Linked DNA regions of Mytilus edulis. The protein of the gene in region 1 interacts with the protein of each later gene in a biochemical or structural test. Links are inferred from orthologs where the notes say so. Each region holds a gene or a part of one and is shown on either strand. Other genes may lie near its edges. The genes, in order: disabled homolog 1-like and F-BAR domain only protein 2-like.

Evidence for each region.
Region 2: the proteins of disabled homolog 1-like (region 1) and F-BAR domain only protein 2-like form a complex in vitro, tested with the Homo sapiens proteins (2 studies listed by BioGRID). The link is inferred for Mytilus edulis from reciprocal best matches to the Homo sapiens genes DAB2 and FCHO2.

Annotation. Positions count from the first base shown.
Region 1 is NC_092344.1:59,955,080-59,968,000, forward strand, and holds the start of disabled homolog 1-like, read left to right. Parts: upstream 1-7,696; 5' UTR 7,697-7,779; intron 7,780-7,946; exon of another isoform or gene 7,947-8,163; intron 8,164-12,921. Other genes in the region: uncharacterized protein, read right to left, coding at 3,669-5,462. UniProt on the Homo sapiens protein: Adapter protein that functions as a clathrin-associated sorting protein (CLASP) required for clathrin-mediated endocytosis of selected cargo proteins.
Region 2 is NC_092344.1:9,084,693-9,097,252, reverse strand, and holds the start of F-BAR domain only protein 2-like, read right to left. Parts: upstream 5,758-12,560; 5' UTR 5,656-5,757; coding exon 5,629-5,655; intron 2,028-5,628; coding exon 1,936-2,027; intron 1-1,935. UniProt on the Homo sapiens protein: Functions in an early step of clathrin-mediated endocytosis. Has both a membrane binding/bending activity and the ability to recruit proteins essential to the formation of functional clathrin-coated pits.

The DNA.
Region 1 (12,921 bases):
AAGAGAATGCCTGTCATGGATTTTTCACATATTTAGAACGTAAAATTATTTTTTTTTTGACTGAAAGGTAAGTTTATCAGCCTGTACAACTATAAACACAGGACCTGTAAATTATACCATCTACATGCCTTCTTACATCACGTACTATGCTACAAAATGAGACCGAGGGAAACCATTATGATTCGACTAATGAAAGCTCAATGTTTTTTCTGTCCGAATGGTCTATGTTGCTTGTATATAATAACAAGAACATGTGAAAGTTTCCAAGAAGTCTGTCAAACAGAGCAGTGGTAGATACCAAAGTTGGACGGTCGAGAAGTCTGTCAAACAGAGCAGTGGTAAATACCAAAGTAAGACGGTCGAGAAGTCTGTCAAACAGAGCAGTGGTAGATACCAAAGTTGGACGGTCAAGAAGTCTGTCAACAGAGCAGTGGTAAATACCAAAGTTGGACGGTCGAGAAGTCTGTTAAACAGAGCAGTGGTTGATACCAAAGTTGGACGGTCGAGAAGTCTGTCAAACAGAGCAGTGGTAAATACCAAAGTTGGACGGTCGAGAAGTCTGTCAAACAGAGCAGTGGTAGATACCAAAGTTGGACGGTCGAGAAGTCTGTCAAACAGAGCAGTGGTAAATACCAAAGTTGGACGGTCGAGAAGTCTGTCAAACAGAGCAGTGGTAGATACCAAAGTTGGACGGTCGAGAAGTCTGTCAAACAGAGCAGTGGTAGATACCAAAGTTGGACGGTCGAGAAGTCTGTCAAACAGAGCTGTGGTAGATACCAAAGTTGGATTGTCGAGGAGTCTGTCAAACAGAGCAGTGGTAAATACCAAAGTTAGACGGTCGAGAAGTCTGTCAAACAGAGCAGTGGTAAATACCAAATTTGAACGGTCGAGAAGTCTGTCAAACAGAGCAGTGGTAGATACTAAAGTTGGAAGGTCGAGAAGTCTGTCAAACAGAGCAGTGGTAGATGCTAAAGTTGGACGGTCGAGAAGTCTGTCAAACAGAGCAGTGGTAGATACTAAAGTTGGACGGTCGAGAAGTCTGTCAAACAGAGCAGTGGTAAATACCAAAGTTGGACGGTCGAGAAGTCTGTCAAACAGATCAGTGGTAGATACCAAAGTTGGACGGTCGAGAAGTCTGCCACATTTTAACTCTTTCAAATGTATTGTTATAAATTATTTTTAAGGTCATTTTTTTAAAATGTTTACTAGTATACAAAAAAAAAATGACTAAAATACACGAGGACAGATAACCTTGCCCACGGAAAATTAAATTTTAGTGATCTTTACCAGTGTATAGGTTACTTTTAGGATACTTTCTTCTTCAAATAACAGAACAGTCAATATGACTGATATGTATCTGGTATAGGAAAAGAACAGCAATGAAAAACAATCCCTTTTATAATTTATAGTATAATTGTCTTAAAACACATACATAACCAGCCATTCATAATCTACAGTCCTTATAACCACTTATCTTTATTTGATTAAAATTAAAGTGGAAATTGATTGTTTCCTCATAATTATCATTTATATACCAAAATCTGATAGCAGACAATTCAAATACTCTAGAATGCAATTTCTATTTTAAAACTTTTTAAGAAATAACAAAATTCGGTATTGCCGGAAAGTTTTGTCTGAGTGTTATATCATTCAAGAAATACGTCGAACTGTTAGAACTTACTGAAGACCATAGACGAGGGTATTGATGGGGTCCACAAAATAGAGAAGGAGAATAATGAGCCAATCCTACAAAAAAATAAAGATAAAGTAGAGAATAATTGGGTGCGTAAATATAAAGAATATGGAACAATGGGACGAAAATATAAGAAATAGAGAAAATGACATAAAATATTAAAGAATACAAAAATGGTTGACCCAACCCAAACCTCATTTATGTAATGGTTTAATGAGAAATCTGATAATGGCACATATGATACGTCAAAGGGTGAAGGCATGACAAATATCTTGTACAAAACTGTTATATCAGCTGTAGCAATCGAACACTATCATCTTTATCTAACAAGAGGTTCTTGAGAGCATTTGTCGCTCAGCTAAGTATTCATCAAATGGCCACACTCCAACATTAAACACTAGAATACTCAATATACATTGAAGACCTGTTGGTGACCTTCTGCTGTTGTCTGTTCTATGGTCGGGTTGTTGTCTCTTTGAAACATTCCCCATTTCCATTCTCAATTTTATTCATGACTCAAATTCTCTTTTTTATTGATTAATTTTTTTGTTTATAATTTCTTTCTACTATAGTTTTGCCCAAAGTGCAAAATTGCGTACAAAATCCTCATCCGTACAGGTGAATAACTCCTATGATTAGTGGACTGACAAAGTAGAAATTAATATTTACTCTCAATTCAAAAATCTCATTTAAGGGCAATAACTCCTTTGCTGAGTTTACCGACAGTTTCATGGAGCTATATTTGACTTATTTGCAGACCCTAATTGTCTAACTGTTTATTTTTGATTTGTGAAGTTTCTCTTTTTTACTTTAGTTAGTGGCCCAAAATACATACAAACTAATAAAAAAACTGATTTCGGGACAATAACTCCAATAAGGAGTTGACAGATAATTTGGCCATGTTTAAAAAAATGTAGCTGAACTTTTTTCTTCTTTTATAAATATAGTTTAAAAAAAATTAGACAAAAACGCAACAATTGTCATTTTATGGCAACATTAAAGGGTTGACAATTTCTTTGTTGTCTTATTTGTAAATCTTGTCTTGCTGATCTCTTTTTCCATTTTAGAGTTTCTCTCTATTTATAATAGTTTACAAACAAATAAAAACAGGCAAAACCACAAAAATGGTAAACATCGTGGTTTAAGGGCAATAACTTACTCTTACTATTACAAACAATAAATTAACAAACAACACACTTAAAAGTAATACCGTTTAAATGAATACTTTCACCGAAGTATTTATAATCTGTCTATATGTGACAATCGCCATCCAATAAGCCTAAGTAATATTGACGTATGCACTTCCGAGCAGTTTTCCTGTTCGGCAACGTCATAAAAAACACAGGTACACACGACAAATCTGAATTCCAATAAGGGCTTGGAAGCGACAGTTATAATATAATATAAATGATGCAATGACCGAAGCACAATCACCACTCAGCAATAAGTGCATCAAGCTAAAACACCGATTTAAAAGACAACATCAAACCTTTTTACTAAAAAAAAATCTTGAAACGCAAATTTGTCTGCACCAGTTTCAACCAAATTCCAGTAGACATTACTGCACCTCCTCAATATAAATCTGTTCATTTAAGAAAAAAATCAGCATTAGTTTTTGTTGATTCATGACATCCATCATTTTCAGTGACAAACAAAGGACGATAATTCAAATGTCAAGCTTAAGTTTTATGTCGTTAAATTGATTAGAGTTATCTTTCTTTGTCTGATTAATATAATGTAGCTCTATCATGTCTATATCAAGTCCAAATAATTTTCAAGACGTCATAATTATTTGGACTAGTCTATATCTACATGAACCATGACTATTTCATTTCAATGTGAAAAGAAATGTTTTTCAGTAACAAATCTCAGTGTATTCTTTTGTGTCTATACATGTCGTGCTGACCATCAAGGGCATTGATTGCAATAATAGGTATTCTTATTTTTATTGTAATATAAAACAATAAATTGTCGTCTACTTGCAAACTGTATAAATATCAATAGATACTCCGTCGTCATTAATAATCATTAACCTTTGAGAATCTTGATCAAATGCCAGACCCCAAGGATGATGTATTCCTTCGTCTAAGACCATGGATTTAGTTCCTCTGTTTGACAACCGATGGATATTTCCAGATTCGTACCCAGCAACAAACACGTGACCTAAGCCATCTGTAGCGAGTCCAGATGGACCAACCAACGTTTCAGATCTGCAGATAAATTGTGACCGCTCTCGCGCAATGCATTGGACTTCATCGCCGTTGTTACTTGTCCAGTAAATGGAGCCGTTTATTCCTGCGCTTAAAAGCAACGGGTCATATTTGGTGTTTATTTTGAAAATGGAAATTCCCGCGCGATCGAGAATGCTTATTTTGCAGTGTCCACTCCGGACGATGATTTGATCGTCAATGCAGGAAATCGCAGTGCATTTCCCGCCAGGTCTTATAAATCGATCTGGTCTACATTCACTGTCGGTGATATCAAAAACTTGTATACCCCTCTCGCCTGCTGCGACAACGGCTGTATTCCTGTCAAACAGGGCAACATCATGTGGAAAGTACAGCAATGGAATTTTCTCGGTCATTGACCCGTACAGGTTACATACAAATATAAATCTATTCTGCGCATCGCATAAAAGCATATGCTTCCCTGAGATAAAACAGCCACGTGAAACTGTGATATTTTCTCCTAAAGATGAAGACGTCGGGAATTTTTTGTATAGTACTAGCTGTATAATCGAGGGAGTTTGAGGTACAAGTTTTATTAACGACAGTTCACTTTCTTTGAAATTACTAACGGATCGAGTTGATACAGGTCTAGGTACAATCTTGCTCTCTGTTGGACTTTCCCATTGTTTGCTGGTCGGCCTAGGTGAAGTTGTTTTTTCAGTGAAAGCAGATTTGACTCGATTGATAACTTTAATATCGACCCAACCCATTGCATTGTAAAGCGATGCCAATTGTTCTTCGTTTTGGGTGAAATCGATTTCCAATGGTTTATATCTATCTCTGAAGTTACTTATGATATCTTCAGTTCTTGGTTTAGTCTGTTCAAACTTCTTTACAATTGTGAACTTATAAGGTTCAGAACCATTCTTTCTCATTAATTCAATATCACTATCGTGAATAGACATCAGGTCTTTATTATGTTGAAGCTGGGAAATTTCATCATCTATTTGTTCAACACAGGAGTCGTATTTCACACTGAGACTGTTTAGTAGTTCTTCTTCTAGTTTTGTTAGATGATCTATGATTTCAGACTTTGTTTTCTTAATTGTTTCTTGAATTGTCTTGTTTTGTTGATCAAGGTTTGCTAGATTTTCTTTCCTGGTATTTATCAGTTGGTTTAAAGAGTCGGCAAGTTTTAATGCTTGCTTTTGTAGAACATCAAAATAGTCGTTACTACTACTGCGCGGTCTCTCTGGCATTAGCTGCTCAATTGCAGTAATATATTTACAGTCCTTGTGTGTTTGTAACAAACAGGTTTGGCAAATCAGCTGGTCATGTCTATTGCAGTAGAAGGTCACTCTTAAATCGGAATGAAGATCACATAAGAAAGACGTAGCCATTAGAAATGATTTAGTATTCTTAACATCCCGGAGACGGATAAGTTTATGCGAGGTTGTGAATCTAGACTTTTTATGGACCTTCCCACAATCCTCACATAATGCTTCGGCACAGTCACAACACCAGTGTTTGGCTTCAACATTATCATTGTCCCTTAGACAAGCAGCGCATATTTCGATATTGACTTTCTTTTCCTTTTCCATCTGAAAGTGTAAAAAGTCATGTTTTCTATTGCTATTATAAACAACGGTACGCCTAGTAAATAACAATGGGGCACCTGTGTTATCAAAGGATTGAACCCTTTCCTTATTCCCTCGAGATGACATTTAAAAATTATCATGCATGAAAGTATATCAGAAATATGCTGGACAGTTCCACTACCAACACCAAATATATATGTAAGATAAGTTTCGCAGAATCAAATAATATGCCTGTACGAAGTAAGGCTATCTGAGCTTTGTATTATTCGTTGTTATTTGTAAGTATGTTTTCTGCGAGGGGTTTATTGCTGTTTGTACTAGTAAGTCATAGTGTGGTGGAAGGTTGAATATCAATGTTAATACCTTCTGTCATATGTATAAAATGGTTAGTAGCAATTGTTATTAAACTGCCACCAAATGTATAGCAGATTGGACAAGAAAAATTCTATCATAAGTGTATAAGTTCAGATTTATTATTTCTTCCATAGATCAACACACAAACGGATTGCTGAGCAAAAAAAAAAAAAAAAAGAAATGAACTCATAACCTTAGAAAATGCTAGATTAGAATGAGTTGAAAGTATGAGCTGACGAAAATGAAAGATAAAGAGGTCCGAATGGATTTACGGATTAGATAATAATTGGCAAAACATTAATGACAGTGAGAAATAGAACAACAAAAAAAAGGAATAAAGAATGGAATTTTCAAATATTAAGAAAATTATAGCTACGGTAAAAAAATACAAAAATTACAAATAAAGAAAACAGGATAACTGCTATAAAATGTATGCATACAGAAATGACAGACTCCCTCTAAAAATATAAATAAAATCCAGACACTCTTACTAGGCATTATCGTTTGAATTGATTTATATGTGGCATTTTGTGGCCATTTCTAGCTGACTATGAGATATGGGCATTGTTCAATGTTGATCGTTACTGTGACCTATAGTTGTAAATTTCTGTGTCATCTGGTCTCTTGTGAAGAGTTGTCTCACTTGGGCGTACATATCACATCTTCTTTAAATATACACCAAGTATACGCATGCAGCACTCATAACCACCCGTCTATATTTGCCTACGAAAGGAAAGCACCTCAGTTCATGTAAATAAAAAAGATTTAAGCTTGAAATATGTTTGTATAACGCTGATATCTTACCTTTCCCTTTTATTTTCTTTGAACTGTTTTAAGCTTCTTTAGATAAATTGTCGATATATTCCTATTATAATATGGTAAAACTTATATATGCGACAAAAGCACTGATGCGGATCAGTAATTGTTTTGAAGAAGTAATAATTGAAATTAAAACTTGAAATATAATCATTTATCAAATTGACAATAGTATATATAAACTAAAATAGTAATAGTCTGATATGTTTTGATCAAAAGTTATGAGATCTAATATAGTTGCCCTTTACCAGATTTTTTCAATTTCACACACGAAAAGATTACAAAAATATCACATTAGAGATAAAAGACTTATTCATGTTTCAAATTTTATTGTTTTAGGGGCCTTTGACAGACAAGGGAGGGAAAGGGGGAAGGTTCCTTTTGTCCCATCTTACGGTATGTATATATATAGTTTACCAACTCGCTCTCTATGACCGTGAAGGTTGTAGTTCCTGACGTTTTAAATTAATGAAGGTAAATTATATCCGAAACTGATTTATAATTTATAAAGTCAGGCATTTCGTTACCGTTTTTTGTTTTTGGATCATATATAGAAATCTGATCAAAATGAAATGTAATATTTATGACGACACGAGGACGGAGGTTCAACAAGAAAGTACACAGGTGAATTAATGAAAAACTTGATAGAAATCGTGTTTCCATGATCCTAGTCAAAAAATGTAATTATATTAAAGTAAATATGCTTCTTTTAGTAATTTTATAGGGTTTTAAAAGCATTAACCATGCGCATATTTTTTAAATTTCGGTCAACGTTTTTACTTAAAAAAAATTACAAAAAGAAACATGAAATTCTCAATTGAAAATTTTGTTCAGTCAAAACGCATGAAATATTTGTCACTGGACGAAAAGAAAACTTGAGAATCATCAATCAATCCGGCAATCCGTAATTTCATTTCAGTCAGGTTATGTCCATCGTTTCAGTTTATGGCTTTAAGTGTTGCTGGCATGTAAAACATAAATACTCAATGACTTCTGTTCTTTCTTTAATATAGAATAAAATACCATGTTGATTTTAATACTCATTTTCGAATATTCAAGTCCTTACCGTGGTTGGTTTCTTTTTAGTTTGATTTTGGTTTGTTTTGATGCATGATCGCCCACGAGAAAATGGGTACATGAATAACAAAGGGTAAGTGAACATTTCTATAAACTGTCAGACAAAAGTTAATAGATTTTTGAATTTCTTAAAAATTATGTGTTCCTTCATCCTAATTTATTCACAGTTTTGTTCACAGAAATTCGCTTTATTTTTGGATCACCTGATCTCAACTTCAGAAACGGGGTCAAAGTTGTTGAACCATTTCATTTCACTTTGGAATCCTTAAAATTGGTAAAATACAAACCAGGAAATGTTCTACTAGTTTAGAAAAATATTCACATGTTTTCAACTTGTAATTTCCTAATAAGGAACGGTTAATTGCCGAGATAATAGTGTGTATCTGAAATGTACATGCTACACGCCCCCTTTTACGATATAATATTGATAAAGTGTACCACTTTGGAATATCACAAAGTAATTATTATGTTATGAAGAAGAAAAAGATAATATTCACATAGATTAAGATTTTATACACTGCTAAAGGAATCAGAATTGAATACTTTAATTTCTTGTGTATCAATCATGTAAATGTAAGTTTCTTGTACTGTACACATGTACAATGATGTAGATGCAGGTAATATTAATTATTACATTTGTCAAATCTCCTTGTATAAGAATAATTTTTCAATGTTGACACTTGACAATTGTAATCTTTTGTACTTATTGTTGATGGTTACACTACATTTACAACTTGTTTTTACTATACCATGTCATTTACATACAGTTGTACCACATCTTCAATTCCTATATCTACATATAAACAAAAATTCTCCAAACCTCTTCAGAAGAGCATCATTGAAAATGGGTTAACCACAATTTTTCAAAGTTAAAAAAAAATGAGATTTTTTTTTAAAAAGACTGACATGTAACATAAATATCGGTACATATGAATTACTGCAAAATTGATGAATTATTTTATTATTGTTTCAGCTATTGTAGAATCATCTTATTTTTATGCCCCATTTACGATAGTAGAGGGCATTATATTTTCTGGTCAGTGCATCTGTTCAGCTGTCCATTCGTCCATCTGTCCGTTCGTCCGTCTGTCTTTAGGTTAAAGTTTTTGGTCAAGGTAGTTTTTGATGAAGTTGAAGTTCAATCAATTTAAAACTCAATACACATGTTACCTATGAAATGATCTTTTTAATTTAAATGCCAAATTTGATTTTTTACCCCAATTTCACGGTCCACTGAAGATAGAAAATAATAATGAGAGTGGGGCATCAGTGTACTTTTGACACATACAATGTACTTGGTTTTTGTATACATGTATACAAATGTACCTCATATATCTCTCATTTAATTTATTTTGGATTCAGATGTACATGTACATAACATCTTTGTTGTGATGTTATGCTATTGTTTCAGAAAAAGGGAGAAGGTTTGGATCCATTAAAACGTTTAATCCCGCTGCAAATGTTTGCACCTGTCCTAAGTCAGGAATCTGATGTACAGTAGTTGTCGTTTGTTTATGTAATATATACGTGTTTCTCGTTTCTCGTTTTGTTTATATAGATTAGACCGTTGGTTTTCCCGTTTGAATGGTTTTACACTAGTAATTTTGGGGCCCTTTATAGCTTGTTGTTCGGTGTGAGCCAAGGCTCCGTGTTGAAGGCCGTACTTTAACCTATAATGGTTTACTTTTTAAATTGTTATTTGTATGGAGAGTTATCTCATTGGCACTCACACCACATCTTCCTATATCTATGTATTGTTAATGAGCATTCACTTTAATGAGGGTCACTCCAACCTACATATGTATATGCATTTACATTAGCTTATTGCCCTAAAAAATAATATTAACAACCCAACTCTAGTTTTAAGTGTCTCCCCTTAATGATTTTAAAAATTTTTGAACAAGCACAACATTTGCACAAGGCACATACTATTTTTTCTGCTGTTAAAACCAATTTAAAAGTAATATTACCTACATTTGTTACTTCCAAACTCAATGATATAAGTTTTAAACCAAGTTGGGTCAAACCAAAGAATTGGTATTTTCTGCTTCTCTGCAAAACACCCAGAGAAGATATACTTGTAATTCAATGGTCCAGATAGCTTCCCAAGTTTGATGGCGGTGTCATATGGTATTTTGAACCCCCTAAAAAGTGAACCCGGGGTCAAAATACCATGCGGTAAAATGACCCCGGGGTCATTATACCGCATGGTATTTTGACCCCGGGGTCATTTTTCACATATGGTATTTTGAACCCCCCTGCGGTATATTGAACCCCCCTGTTTTTGATAAATAGTATTGCAGATAATCTAATTTACAATTTATTGGCTATCATTTTTTTTAATTTGTGCTTTTAAGTAGGGGGTTCAATATACCGCAGGGGGGTCAAAATACCATGGCTAAGTAAAATTTTCAAAATATCTTTTCCAGTATATTAAATACATACAAACTACTCATTGGAGTATTATAACTATGTTGAGGAGTAAGAATAGCTTGAATTTTTGAAATTCAAGGTCTATAGTAGGGGGTTCAATATACCGCAGGGGGGTCAAAATACCATGGCTAAGTAAAATTTTCAAAATATCTTTTCCAGTATATTAAATACATACAAACTACTCATTGGAGTATTATAACTATGTTAAGGAGTTAGAATAGCTTGAACTTTTGAAATTTAAGGTCTATAGTAGGGGGTTCAATATACCGCAGGGGGGTCAAAATACCATGGCTAAGTAAAATTTTCAAAATATCTTTTCTAGTATATTAAATACATACAAACTTCTTATTGGAGTATTATAACTATGTTAAGGAGTTGAAATAGCTTGAACTTTTGAAATTCAAGGTCTATAGTAGGGGGTTCAATATACCGCAGGGGGGTCAAAATACCATGGCTAAGTAAAATTTTCAAAATATCTTTTCCAGTATATTAAATACATACAAACTACTTATTTGAGTATTATAACTATGTTGAGGAGTAAGAATAGCTTAAATTTTTGAAATGCAAGGTCTATAGTAGGGGGTTCAATATACCCCAGGGGGGTCAAAATACCATGGCTAAGTAAAATTTTCACAATATCTTTTCCAGCATATTAAATACATACAAACTACTTATTGGAGTCTTATAACTATGTTGAGGAGTTAAAATAGCTTGAATTTTTGAAATTCAAGGTCTATAGTATGGGGTTCAATATACCGCAGGGGGGTTAAAATACCATGGCTAAGTAAAATTTTCAAAATATCTTTTCTAGTATATTAAATACATACAAACTACTTATTGGAGTATTATAACTATGTTAAGGAGTTAGAATAGCTTGAACTTTTGAAATTTAAGGTCTATAGTAGGGGGTTCAATATACCGCAGGGGGGTCAAAATACCATGGCTAAGTAAAATTTTCAAAATATCTTTTCCAGTATATTAAATACATACAAACTACTTATTGGAGTCTTATTACTATGTTGAGGAGTTAGAATAGCTTGAATTTTTGAAATTCAAGGTCTATAGTAGGGGGTTCATTATACCGCAGGGGGGTCAAAATACCATGGCTAAATAAAATTTTCAAAATTTCTTTTCCAGTATATTAAATACATACAAACTACTTATTGGAGTATTATAACTATGTTAAGGAGTTAGAATAGCTTCAATTTTTGAAATTCAAGGTCTATAGTAGGGGGTTCAATATACCGCAGGGGGGTCAAAATACCATGGCTAAGTAAAATTTTCAAAATATCTTTTCCAGTATATTAAATACATACAAACTACTCATTGGAGTATTATAACTATGTTAAGGAGTTAGAATAGCTTGAACTTTTGAAATTTAAGGTCTATAGTAGGGGGTTCAATATACCGCAGGGGGGTCAAAATACCATGGCTAAGTAAAATTTTCAAAATATCTTTTCCAGTATATTAAACTATACTTATTGGAGTATTATAACTATGTTGAGGAGTTAGAATAGCTTGAATTTTTGGAAATTCAAGGTCTATAGTAGGGGGTTCATTATACCGCAGGGGGGTCAAAATACCATGGCTAAGTAAAATTTTCAAAATTTCTTTTCCAGTATATTAAATACATACAAACTACTTATTGGAGTATTATAACTATGTTAAGGAGTTAAAATAGCTTCAATTTTTGGAATTCAAGGTCTATAGTAGGGGGTTCAATATACCGCAGGGGGGTCAAAATACCATGGCTAAGTAAAATTTTCAAAATATCTTTTCCAGTATATTAAATACATACAAACTACTTATTGGAGTCTTATATTAAACTATGTTGAGGAGTTAGAATAGCTTGAATTTTTGAAATTCAAGGTCTACAGTAGGGGGTTCATTATACCGCAGGGGGGTCAAAATACCATGGCTAAGTAAAATTTTCAAAATTTCTTTTCCAGTATATTAAATACATACAAACTACTTATTGGAGTCTTATAACTATGTTGAGGAGTTAGAATAGCTTGAATTTTTGAAATTCAAGGTCTATAGTAGGGGGTTCATTATACCGCAGGGGGGTCAAAATACCATGGCTAAGTAAAATTTTCAAAATTTCTTTTCCAGTATATTAAATACATACAAACTACTTATTGGAGTATTATAACTATGTTATGGAGTTAGAATAGCTTCAATTTTTGGAATTCAAGGTCTATAGTAGGGGGTTCAATATACCGCAGGGGGGTCAAAATACCATGGCTAAGTAAAATTTTCAAAATTTCTTTTCCAGTATATTAAATACATACAAACTTCTTATTGGAGTATTATAACTATGTTAAGGAGTTAGAATAGCTTCAATTTTTGAAATTCAAGGTCTATAGTAGGGGGTTCAATATACCGCAGGGGGGTCAAAATACCATGGCTAAGTAAAATTTTCAAAATTTCTTTTCCAGTATATTAAATACATACAAACTACTTATTGGAGTATTATAACTATGTTAAGGAGTTAGAATAGCTTCAATTTTTGAAATTCAAGGTCTATAGTAGGGGGTTCAATATACCGCAGGGGGTCAAAATACCATGGCTAAGTAAAATTTTCAAAATATCTTTTCCAGTATATTAAATACATACAAACTACTCATTGGAGTATTATAACTATGTTAAGGAGTTAGAATAGCTTGAACTTTTGAAATTCAAGGTCTATAGTAAGGCGTTCAATATACCCCTTCTATACCTTGAATTGCAAAAATTTAAGCCTTCTTACTCCTTAATATAGTAATAAACTCCAATAAGTAGT
Region 2 (12,560 bases), about 51 Mb from region 1:
AAGGGGGATGCTGATTGCGTAAGTCAAAACAAAGCACGTGTTCGACTTGTTAAACTGTTTTCTTTGCAACTGGATTATTAATTTATTTATTTAATCTAAATTATCATAATCATTTGCTAAAACTTAGTTGATTATTTCGACAAATGAATCGTCTATCCTCAGATAGTATTCTCGTGTCTGGTTTGTTGATCTACCTGTACAAGCTCAGGTACAAGTGATAAGCGATCTTAATCCGTAGATTCCTCAGGCGTTAGAACTGTATTGGATTATAACATAAAAAGCCTAAGGGTTATGCAATTACATGCATTTGATTATAATTGATAAAAAAAATGGCGTCGGGCTACAAAAAACGATGAAGTTTTGAACGATGGCGGAAGACATTTAACGATGGCGCAAGACAATTTAACGATGGCGCGAGTCATTTGACGATGGCGCATGACATTTGAACGATGGCGGGGCGCCATCGTTAAATAGGCCATGGAGATCCCTGATAGTCATGTCTGGCAAATTTCCAATATATATTATCAACTACTATTCTATACAAAGAAAGATAACTCCAATTGAAAATTAATTGCTATTGCACAATATTGTGCAATTAGATATTTCTTGCTATTGTGCAATACTGTGCAATTGAAAATTTCTTGCTATTGCACAATACTTGATATGGAATCCTGATTTGGACCAACTTGAAAACTGGGCCCATAATCAAAAATCAAAGTACATATTTAGATAAAGCATATCAAATAAGCCCAAGAATTTAATTTTTGTTAAAATCAAACTTAGTTTAATTTTGGACCCTTTGGACCTTAATGTAGACCAATTTGAAAACTGGACCAAAAATTAAGAATCTACATACACAGTTAGATTTGGCATATCAAAGAACCCATTTATTCAATTTTTGATGAAATCAAACAAAGTTTAATTTTGGACCCCCATTTGGACCAACTTGAAAACTAGGCCAATAATTAAAAATCTAAGTACATTTTTAAATTCAGCATATCAAAGAACCCCAAGGATTCAATTTCTGTTAAAATCAAACTTAATTTTTTAATTTTTGATGAAATCACACAAAGTTCAATTTTGGACCCTTTGGGCCCCTTATTCATAAACTGTTAGGACCAAAACTCCCAAAATCAAACCCAACCTTCCTTTTATGGTCATAAACCTTGTGTTTAAATTTCATAGATTTCTATTTACTTATACTAAAGTTATGGTGCAAAAACCAAAAATAATGCTTATTTGGGCCCCTTTTTGGCCCCTAATTCATAAACTGTTGTGACCTCAACTCCAAAAATCAATCCCAACCTTCCTTTTGTGGTCATAAACCTTGTGCTAAAATTTCATTGATTTCTATTTACTTATACTAAAGTTATTGTGCGAAAACCAAGAATAATGCTTATTTGGGCCCTTTTTTTGGCCCTTAATTCCTAAACTGTTGGAACCAAAACCCCCAAAATCAATCCCAACCTTCCTTTTGTGGTCATAAACCTTGTGTCAAAATTTCATAGATTTCTATTAACTTAAACTAAAGTTATAGTGCGAAAACCAAGAAAATGCTTATTTGGGCCCTTTTTGGCCCCTAATTCCTAAAATGTTGGGACCAAAACTCCCAAAATCAATACCAACCTTCCTTTTGTGGTCATAAACCTTGTGTTAAAATTTCATAGATTTCCATTCACTTTTACTAAAGTTAGAGTGCGAAAACTAAAAGTATTCGGACGCCGGACGACGACGACGACGACGCCAACGTGATAGCAATATACGACGAAAAATTTTTCAAATTTTGCGGTCGTATAAAAATACCTTTCTCTCAGAAAGTCTATGAAGTCTTTAGAAGTTAAAAATACCTTTCTCTCAGAAAGTCTATGAAGTCTTTAGAAGTTAAAAATACCTTTCTCTCAGAAAGTCTATGAAGTCTTTAGAAGTTAAAAATACCTTTCTCTCAGAAAGTCTATGAAGTCTTTAGAAGCCGTCTGGCCATGTTTCATATTATGATACAGCACATAGAAGCCATTGTTCTTTTCTCCCTAAAAATAAAAAAAATATTGGTTATACTTGACCAAAATGATACAGCATGATACATACTTGCCTTCCCAACTATAATCACATATATATTTCATAATTTATATCTTTTTTTGCCATTTAGTCAACATTGTTTTTTTAAGTACATGTACATGTAGTTTTTTTTTAAAACATCAGGTGTTTTCTGACCTGTTTCAATGTAACTAATTGTTTAAGGATCTAAGGGACGATTTCAATTATTATAAGCAAATTTTCTTTATACAATTTTGGCAAAGAAAAACAAATACAAGAAAATTTCCAGATATCCTAGGAACAACACATGTACAGGAAAAGCGGATTTGTTTTGAGCAATTTTTATAAAACATTTCAAAGATTCCACATCAGCCATTGTCAGCTAAGGCAAATTTATATTTTCAGTCACATTTTGAAATTCCTAAAATATGCATATTTTAGAAATCTTCATTTCAATTGTTGAACCAATTTCCAGTCAATCAAAGCATGATAAATTGTTGTGTTAAGTAGATAAATGCGTTTGGTATAATAATAATAATAAATTCTTTATTTAACGAAGGTAACTCATTTAACATACAATTGTTAATCTCACACAAGGCCTTCACACATTTAAATGAATAATTCATATAGAACAATAATCAATAGATATGTACACAATTACAAATATATATATACACAAGCATGAAAACAGACTGTAGAACTAGCATGGCAAGAATGTCCTAAAAAAGTTTGACTACTCATTTTGTTTTATGATAAAGAGATTAACACATTTCATCTTAAAGCTTTCTATATGCAGTGTTCTAGGATTCCCATTACCCGTTACCCGGGGTAAGTGGATTAGGACAACGGGTAAGTCATTTTTTAGCCTTTGTCACCCGGTGGTAAGTCAATTTTCAAGTTCGGGGAAGCCGAAAAACTCTTGAAATTTCCCGGTCCTCTTCAATTTTCCCATATCTGCTTTTTATTTTTATTAAATCACGAGAAAAAACTTTGATAAAAGATCGAAGATTTTGTCGATGTCTATCGGCGCTTTTATTCAAGCACTCGTTTACTAGGTGTAATCAAGCGCAAAAGAGACCACATTCTTCTCCTATCATTCTAAAAGTCGGTCACGGTGTCGGTAAAATCGAAAAATCCGGATTGATAACTGGTGCTTAAATCGGGACATAAACGATTTTTTTTCTTGTCATCAGAGGAAAATAAACTTACAGTTGCATTTATTATAGCTCTTAATAAATGACATAGTAATAACTATAACATATTTGTCAAATTTAGTAAGAAATCGTTTTTTTTTAATTTTGTACAAAATTCAATCGTATCCGAATCCAGCTTTGTTCAGTAAATTACAATATTCAAAGTTTCATGAGTTTGCATAAGTTTGGATTTACTTCAAAAAGGCTAAACGATATAAATCAAGCATCACCCCCACCAAAAAAGCCCAAACTTGACAAAAAGCAGAGAGACAAACTGTATGATGTTGAAAAAAGGACCAGGGGGTATGCTTTGCCCCGTCCGCATTGGTTGGCGGATTTAACTTTTAGATGTGGGTAAGTAATTTTTTTATTGATCTTACCCGTGGTAAGTCAAGGTGCCAAAAAAATCCTAGAACACTGTATATGTCTTAAATCCTTTAAATCATTTGGGAAATTATTCCAAATGATTAGACCAGAATATTGAAAAGTCTTTTTGAAGTATTCAGACTTTGGCCTTGGTATATGAAGATGTCCAGATGTTGTTGACCTAAGAGAATAACTATATAAATCACTGCACGCAGTAAATTTAATTGTAAGATAATCTGGCGCTAGTCCATTCATACATTTAAACATTAAAGTGGCTTGAAAATATTTTATCCGAGTAAAAATGGTCATCCAATTAAGTTCTTTAAACATTGATATTGATGGATAATCAAAAGGCTTATTCAAAATTAATCTTGCTGTGCGCTTTTGTAGTTTATGAATCAGCTCAATGTTGCAATTTGCGGTAAAACCCCATATCCTGCAACAATAATCAATTATCGGTAATATATAACTATTATAAAAAAGGATAAGACCTTTGCGAGGTAAGTATCGTTTTAATCTTTTTAGCAGGTATAATCTGCTTGAAAATATTTCACATACTTTATCTATGTGAATTGACCATGATAGATTTTTATCAATATGGATACCAAGAAGTTTTTCCACTTCTACATTGTCAAATGCAGTTTGATTTTGTGATAATACACACAAGACATCGTTACAATTCTCAAGTTTTCTCTCAGATTCCATAAGCATACATTTGGACTTCTTGTTATTTATTATCATATTGTTTTTATCACATCATTCAATTAGGTTTTCAAAGTCTTTATTTAAATAAGAGTTTAAGTTTGAAATAGATTTGGACGATAAATGCAAAGTTGTGTCATCGGCATATAATTCAGACTCTGTGTGTTCTAATTCAAACGGGAGATCATTTATATAGATTAAGAATAATAAAGGTCCTAATATGGAACCTTGTGGGACCCCAAATGTTACATTATTGTATCCTGATTCAGTTGTTCCAATTTTAACCTTTTGCAATCTATTTGAGAGATAGGATGAAAACCATTTAACAGAGTGATCATCACATTTATATAAATTCAGTTTCGATAATGAGATGTTATGATTTACAGTGTCAAATGCTTTTTTAAAATCTAGAAATAAAACAGCAGTAAAATTGCCTTTGTCAAATTCTTCTAACCATTTGTCAATTATTTTGATAAGTGCTGTGTGGCATGAATGTTTTTCTCTAAATCCAGATTGTTGTCATTTATAAATTGAGTTTATTCAACGCCTAGCAATTAATATAAGTGATGTCAAAATACATCAGTGTCAGGAAGCAACATTAAAATATATAAAATTGTGCTAAATTCCAGACAAGGTGGAAGTTTTCTGAGTGCATCACTGCATGGTCATATGGACATGCAAGACGTTAATATTGATATATATATAAGTCAATGGATTGGTCTTAAGATAAGAATCTTCATTGGAAGTAAAGGGACAGAATTTGTAGAATAGTAGATTCAGAGTCCAGAGTTACATAATCAATCAACTTGAGTCTTTGTAAACTATGACCCTGAAAAACTCAACATTGGTCTTTACACCTTATCGCCAATTTCTAGACATCACAAAAGTTCCTGTAGAATTTCTACATCATAACAAATGCCTGATGCCACTAAGGAAAAGTGATTGTTTGACATCATAAGATCAAGTGTTGCAGATTTACTTATAGTAATAAGGTTTATTGATTGTATCCTGGTGAATAAATGGAAAGGGAAGTAACTAAAGGTAAAGTCTAAAGAGCTTCAAGGTTATAAATTGTTTCCTTGTCACAGAAATGATACTGATATTATATCAAATATTCAAATGAATGAAATAGTACTTGGGATGCAGAATATGAATATGCATTTGAGGCACAGTGGTAAAATGCAAATATGAACACAAGATAATATAAAACATGATCTAGACAACACCCCCTTTTCAAGTGTCAATTGCATGAAATGGTGTCGCTTTTTCGCAGCTTTTTTCAAGTAAATGTCATCTCATAGTCCGTCTCTGAAAACCTTATTTATTTAAGTACCCAAAAATGATCTGAGAAAGTTGTCATCCTAAATTTTGAAACTGCATCTGGTTTGTTCCATGAAAATGGCGATTATTTTGATTGTTTTGCGTTTGCGCACATCCGTTTTCTTACTCAGATTAGCGCTTTAACCAACGATCTTTTACCTTGCGGGTCTAAGCTTATATGTCGTCAGCTGTCAGTTAAAAATTTCCGGGAAAGTACAAAAAAAACCAAAAAAGGTATAAATGCACATGGCAATTTCTTCTTTACAGCTCAGAAATATTTCGGATTTATTTAAAAAGAGATAAGGCTTCGTACAAAATTGAAGTTATAGATTTTGGTATCCCCATGTGGCCACAATTTGATAACTTTGACAATTTTACACTCACTAATTTACAGTCTTTGAAAGTTTTTGAACACATGCATGAAGTGATGCACAATGAGGGTGGTAAAGGCACAATGAGGGTGGTAAAGGGTAATTTTCGGGCAACGTGTTTTGCCATTTTTATTTCACGTGCAACCGTGAAATAGGTTCGTTATTTGACGTGTTTCGTGAAATCGGTAAAAATCTCAACGTGCTATCTGGCAATTTTATTTCGCAGTCTTCTGTGCAGATACCACCCCTTTACGCCCCTCCACAATCTATGGTCAGATCATATGTTTTCGTACCTCACATGTTTTCGTACTATGCATGCTTTTTCAATGGAAATCGTGACGTCATAATGCATTCCTAATATAATTGAAATGGCAAATTGTATAGTAGATTTAGATTTATACACATCCTTGTTTAGATAAAGAACTTACCCCGAATCATATGCAGTGGAACACTTGACATTTTATGGTTAAGTTCGTCTTTTATATCAGGGATTATCATTTTGGTGTTTTTTGAAAAATTTCATTGCCTAAATCAGTCCATCTTTTTAATTGTCTGAAAGAAAGTGTACATTTTATCGTCGTGCACCAACTACCCATTAAGACCCTCTTATTCTGTTATTGACAATATTAACGTCATTTGACAAGAATTTTTACCTTTATTCCTCTTACAGGTACCCCCATTAAAACCCTCTCATTGGCAATATTTAATTGCACAAAGTCATGTAGGTACAAGACGATTAAAAAATAAATATATGTTGACTAGTGACTGAATTCACTTAAAAGATCATCAACTTGCTTCTTCCAAAAAAAATACTGTTCATATAGGACAAGAATCCCATATGGCACCCAAACAGTAAACTAAACTAAAGTAACATAATAATGTATTACATGTATTACAGTTAATTTCTGTGGGGGTGCCAGATAGTTGAGGGTAAAAAAAAAATCATAAATGGTTGGTTGAACTCCCTTGTACTGTACACTATGTGGTAAATGTAGAACTCTGAGCATTCATATTCATAAAAAAAAACACCATCTTGTAGAAGACAACCGATTTATTCACACTGGGTGCAGGGGTGGATCCAGCTATTTCAAAAAGGGAGTATTTTTGCCCCTGGACCCCCCTTCTGGATCTTCTACTGTGGTTGTATCATACAGACATTACAAAGTTCACATACAATAGAAAACACATGGCATACACTTAAACAATTCACACCATTTCAGCTATCCTGTTCATCGCAAACAGTCTTATCCAAACCCTATCTCTCAACATCAAGATATGGTGAACAAAGTTAATACTGTATTGGGTAATCACAGACATGTTAATAAAGTCAGAGTCACAACAACTGTTTGAAAGATCAATATTTTTGTCATTAAAATGAACCAAAATTAAAGATTTTAGGCCAAGAATTTAAAAAGTTCTGGTTAAAAAGTTGAAATAAGTTCAAAATGGTCAAAGTCAGATTGACAGCTAGGTTGTATTTATAAAATATACTTGTAATTACTAAATACTTATAGTTTAGTGATTTACTAATAGTATATTTTTTTCCCTTCATAAATTTAAGTTGACTGGAAGAATTGCATCAACCACCTCTACAAATAACTGTTATTTATCAAGATTATGGAAAAACTATGTTATTTTATATTTATTGACAGTATTTATTCCTGTATGTAAACAATAGTTTGCAGAAGATATGAAGAGAGTGGCGGATCCAGGAATTTTCTTAAGTGGGGGCCCACTGACTGCCTAAGAGGGGGCCTGCTCCAGTTACGCTTCAGTGATTCCCTATATAAGCAACCAATTTTTTTCCCAAAAAGGGAGACCCGGGCCCCCCCTAAATCCGCCTCTGAAGAGTACTCTAAATAATCTTGTAAATTAATTTTGATTTATAACCCTTGTAACAACTCCATATTCCATCCATCATACATGTAAACACCATTTATTATTATAATGGCATATGTAACTCCTTTTCCTGTAATTTTCATGTTCTGACAGCACATGTAGAATTTTTCCTGCAAGGTGCAATCACTAAATATATATTGTCCTTTCTATCAATAGGAAGTCACAGAAATGATAATATATAATTAGTGATTGCACCTTGCAGGATAAAAATCTACATACATGTTGTCAGAACATGAAAATTACAACAGCATTCCAGTCTGCACCAAACTGTTTTTAGGGTTTGCCTGACCGAAAAAGAAATTTGACGTTTTTCTTCTATATACATGATATATTCAACTAAAAATTTTGAAAATTTCTGTCTGACCGAATGATCTTTTGTCGAATAGACAGAGTTTGGGATACACGGGCATTCATTGACAGTAAACTACATATCAATCTCTTTATGTCATTCGCATCGAATTTGAACTATTCCTAATTATCTGTACTAGGTTTTTCTCCAAGTCCTATTGTAGTATTATCCTCAGACGCAATATAACATGCATTTCACTTTAAAAAAAAATTACAATTTCATCATATAAGAAAAACTCTATATAGTGATATTATAATCCCATCTACTGGCCTAGAATGCATGTTTCTTTTGATTTCTGTTATATAGATTTTATTTTTAATGTGAGACTTAAGGTTTGTTTGTGTGGTGCATTAAGAAAGTCAGTATATTACTTCCATTTCTGACTTTAATAGTGATCTTTTATAACTAATGAGAAAATTTAGTGTAATTAGCAGGGGCGGATGCAGGAATTTTCGAAAGGGGGGTGCTAACCCAGGGCAAAGGGGGGGTGCAGGGGGGGTGCAAAACATATGTCCCGATACAAATGCATTGATCGGCAAAAATAAAGGGGGGGTGCGCACCCCCGGAACCCCCCCCTGGATCCGCCACTGATTATATATAGTAAACAACTTTTTGTTTTAAACAAAGAGATCCCAACCACATGAATGATGTATGCATTGAATAATATTAATAAAATATGTACAAAAAAAAACATGTATTTGGGACTAAACAACTTTTTTTGTAAAACCAGTCAAGTAAAATATTGATTTTTTTGTACATCAGACTGTATTGAATACTTTTAAATATCAACAAAAATATCACATTTCCTGATTTAATGAAAATTGATAATATTAATTACATTAGTTGATACACTTATTTATTTAATCTGATATCTGATGTTGTGGACTCTAATGTATTTCCTGTTTTTTTAAGTTATGGATTGTAATCTCTAGTCACTGCAGTCATATTTTAAGGTCTGGACTTCTACACCATTTATTGACACTTGTAAATTTCAAATCAATAAAGCGTCTTTGTAAAAAAATAATAAATATGACTGTGTGTATAAAGTATATTGCAAGATACTCCAAAAATGTCAGTTATATTAATGTCTGAAATTAAGATGTTCAAACTGGAGAAGAGAATAATTATTCATGACATATAGTAAGTCTGATATTTGACTATTTGTCTTCGTCATTCATGACCAGATCGGTCAAGTATTAAATTAAGCAAAAATTACCCTTTCTTGACCCTTCCTACAGACAGTAGATGCATCATACTGTCAGAACTATTGATTTGTGTAAACAGCAAAGTCTTACCTCTTCACTAAATGATGTTAGTGAGCAAAAGCCTGAAATACTGAAAAAAAACCCAGATAGAGTAAAAAAGTGAGTGGAATATAAACTAAATGTTTTTTTAATGAGGAATACTGTTACGTGAAAAGGATAAACAGCATCAACAACATACATGTATTTATTCATAGTAAGAAGTGAGTACTTAGTAGAGACATCCGGACTTGCAACCTGATTTACACTTTTCATAAGTATCTGATGTAAAATGCATTTGTAATCATGGTAATAGGTGATTGACCATGATTCAAATTGGATTATCTCCCATTTATTTACGGGAACAAAAATAAGAAATAACTTAACATTGTGAAAGCATTTTATGTGAGGTAGGTTAGACACTTAAATAAGAAATAAGTTATGTTGTAAGTTGGGACATCTCTAGTAATAGAAACTATAATAAGAACAGGATGTGTATATTTAGAGAGATAGATTGATACATATAATTGCGGATATTACAATGAGTAGGAAAAACGTTAATATGAACAGGACGCTGACTTTTCTTAGATAAATATTTTGGATGACAATTTTAAAACAGCAATTGAATTTTTTTTTGTCTGTTTACCACACTGTCATGACTGTCCGGAAATTATTTTTCATTTTAATATAGAATAAAATATTGTTGTGTCATAACTTTGCATTTATTTTTATGTAATATGATCTTTAGACTTAAATTATACAATCCTAACTATAAATACTTATAACATTAGACCAAGACTGTACTTATGTGTTTAAAATATGCATATTATTGTCTTGAAAGTGTTCCATTACATGTATTTAGATTAAAATAAAGTAATTACATGTACTTAATATTTTAAAACAATCAAAATAACCTTGTAATAATGGGAACTTGCGTTTATTTTTATTCAGCATTTTACAAGATTTATAAGTACTGTATTTTTCAAACTACATGTAGTCTTGAAAGATAGATAAAATAAATGATATTAATTGTGAAACAATGCAGTTTGAGCTACTTTAATCCTAATTTAGATATTCTGACCTAAACTTTATAAAATAAAAGGACAGCTACTTAGGTAAAGTTTATGATACTTATAACTTCAATTATGACTAATTTTAAGAAAATCCCTTTGATCTACATGCACTACTAGTTAATTTTCCATCAGGCTATTTCAGATGTGTTTTCTTAGATGTACATGTAGAAAGAGAATGTGAAGACATCATGAACAATATGTCATTGACACCGTCACTAACATTAACTTATTGACAATGTCTAGGAAAATAGCAGATTATTTATGTTTTTGAAACTTGGTACATTACAATGTATATCTGATCCTTATCTTGTAGAAAAAAAACCATCAGTAATCTATTTATATAATGCATTTCCAATACATATATGATAATTGAAAAATTACAAATGACAATGGCCAAATGACAATACATCTATTTGTTTTGCTGTCATCTGACCCTTCTGTGTATTTTTTTTTTTGCATATACTTTTACTTTACATGAGATGTCAGCCTTGAACTAGAAAAAAATACATATCCCGTACATTGTATATTGATCTGTTTTATCATACTTATTGTATTAATTATCTTAAGGAAGATATCTTATTAATAACAAGATAATGTTATATTACAGGTTAAGTGACATAGTTGGATGGTTACCCAAGTTTTTGAACTTTGTGATGTGACACAATGATAGCATACAGCTGATAAAGTTTTCTGATGATACCATGCCAAATATTTACTATAGACTTATTGATATATTCATAAAGCCTTCAGATCCTGTATGGATTATAATTGAAAATATTTAAATCGGGTAAGGAATATCAATATTGTTTTTAAATTTAATACTTACTATTACATTTATATATGTAATGCAAAAAGTGCATATTTGTCACGCTAAGCACATATGTATGATTAATTTGACGGATAGCTTTAACTTTGAAGTGTTTATTTTTGTGGAAGGTGTTGTTTTCTCTATTTTCATAAAAAATTTTAAAGCTGTAAACGATTGCATTATTAAAACGTTTTAAAGTGTAATATAAATTCAGGAGAGATTGATTATTTAATGGATTAATGCATATGTATTTTAAAGTGTCAAGTTTGTTCAGGAGTTTACTAGGTAAGACCACAAGCTAAGCAGTTGTCCTACAATTAGTTGTAACAGACTGATAACAACCTTGGCATCATCATTATCTGTTTGGCCACATTCATGTTATTCTTAATCTCAGCTGTACAGACTACACTGATAGATTATGGGGAACCTGATAGGAGGGTGCCCCCCCTTTAATTACATGATAATGCAATGTATATCATACCATTTCAAGTATTGCAAGATCTTTTTCCCATGATTTCTTCTTATATAGAAAAAAAACATTTACAATCGTAATTTTGAAAATTTTATGCATGCAAAATATTTTGTACAATATCATTATTCTTTAATTCATTGAATTCTTGTAATTTTATAATGTGATTGAAATGTGCCTTGCCTTTTATCCAGTGAAGGTATGCAGTAGTACAAATTACATAGACCAAAACAGATCCATGTGCTATGAGTGAACATGTGTCTGCCTATAATTAGATTGTCAATCATATGTTATTACTAACTTTCATAAGGTCGTGCGCCATTCGCACATTTTGACCAGATCTTATTTCTTGTACCTGTATTTATTAAACAAATATTGTCATCTTAATTGATTCCAAATTATATGAATGTTACACTGTGGATACATTATAATCTAGTGGGATACCATTTTTCAATGATTTCGTGGGTACAGGATTATTTCAATGTTCCACAAAACTTTTCCTTAGGCATGTATGCAGACTTAGGCATAACCCTGAAATCAAATATCAACAAAAATATTATTCCCCACAATCCACATTAATTGCATTGGTACCCACGAAAATAAAAGAATGTTATTTGCGTTTTCTTTTTGTTGTTTAAAAACCTATAATTTTAAATTTAACAGTTCAATAAAATTTTGTACGGTCAATATATATTTATAAACAGAGACCTATAATACAAGTATAAATGGATAATA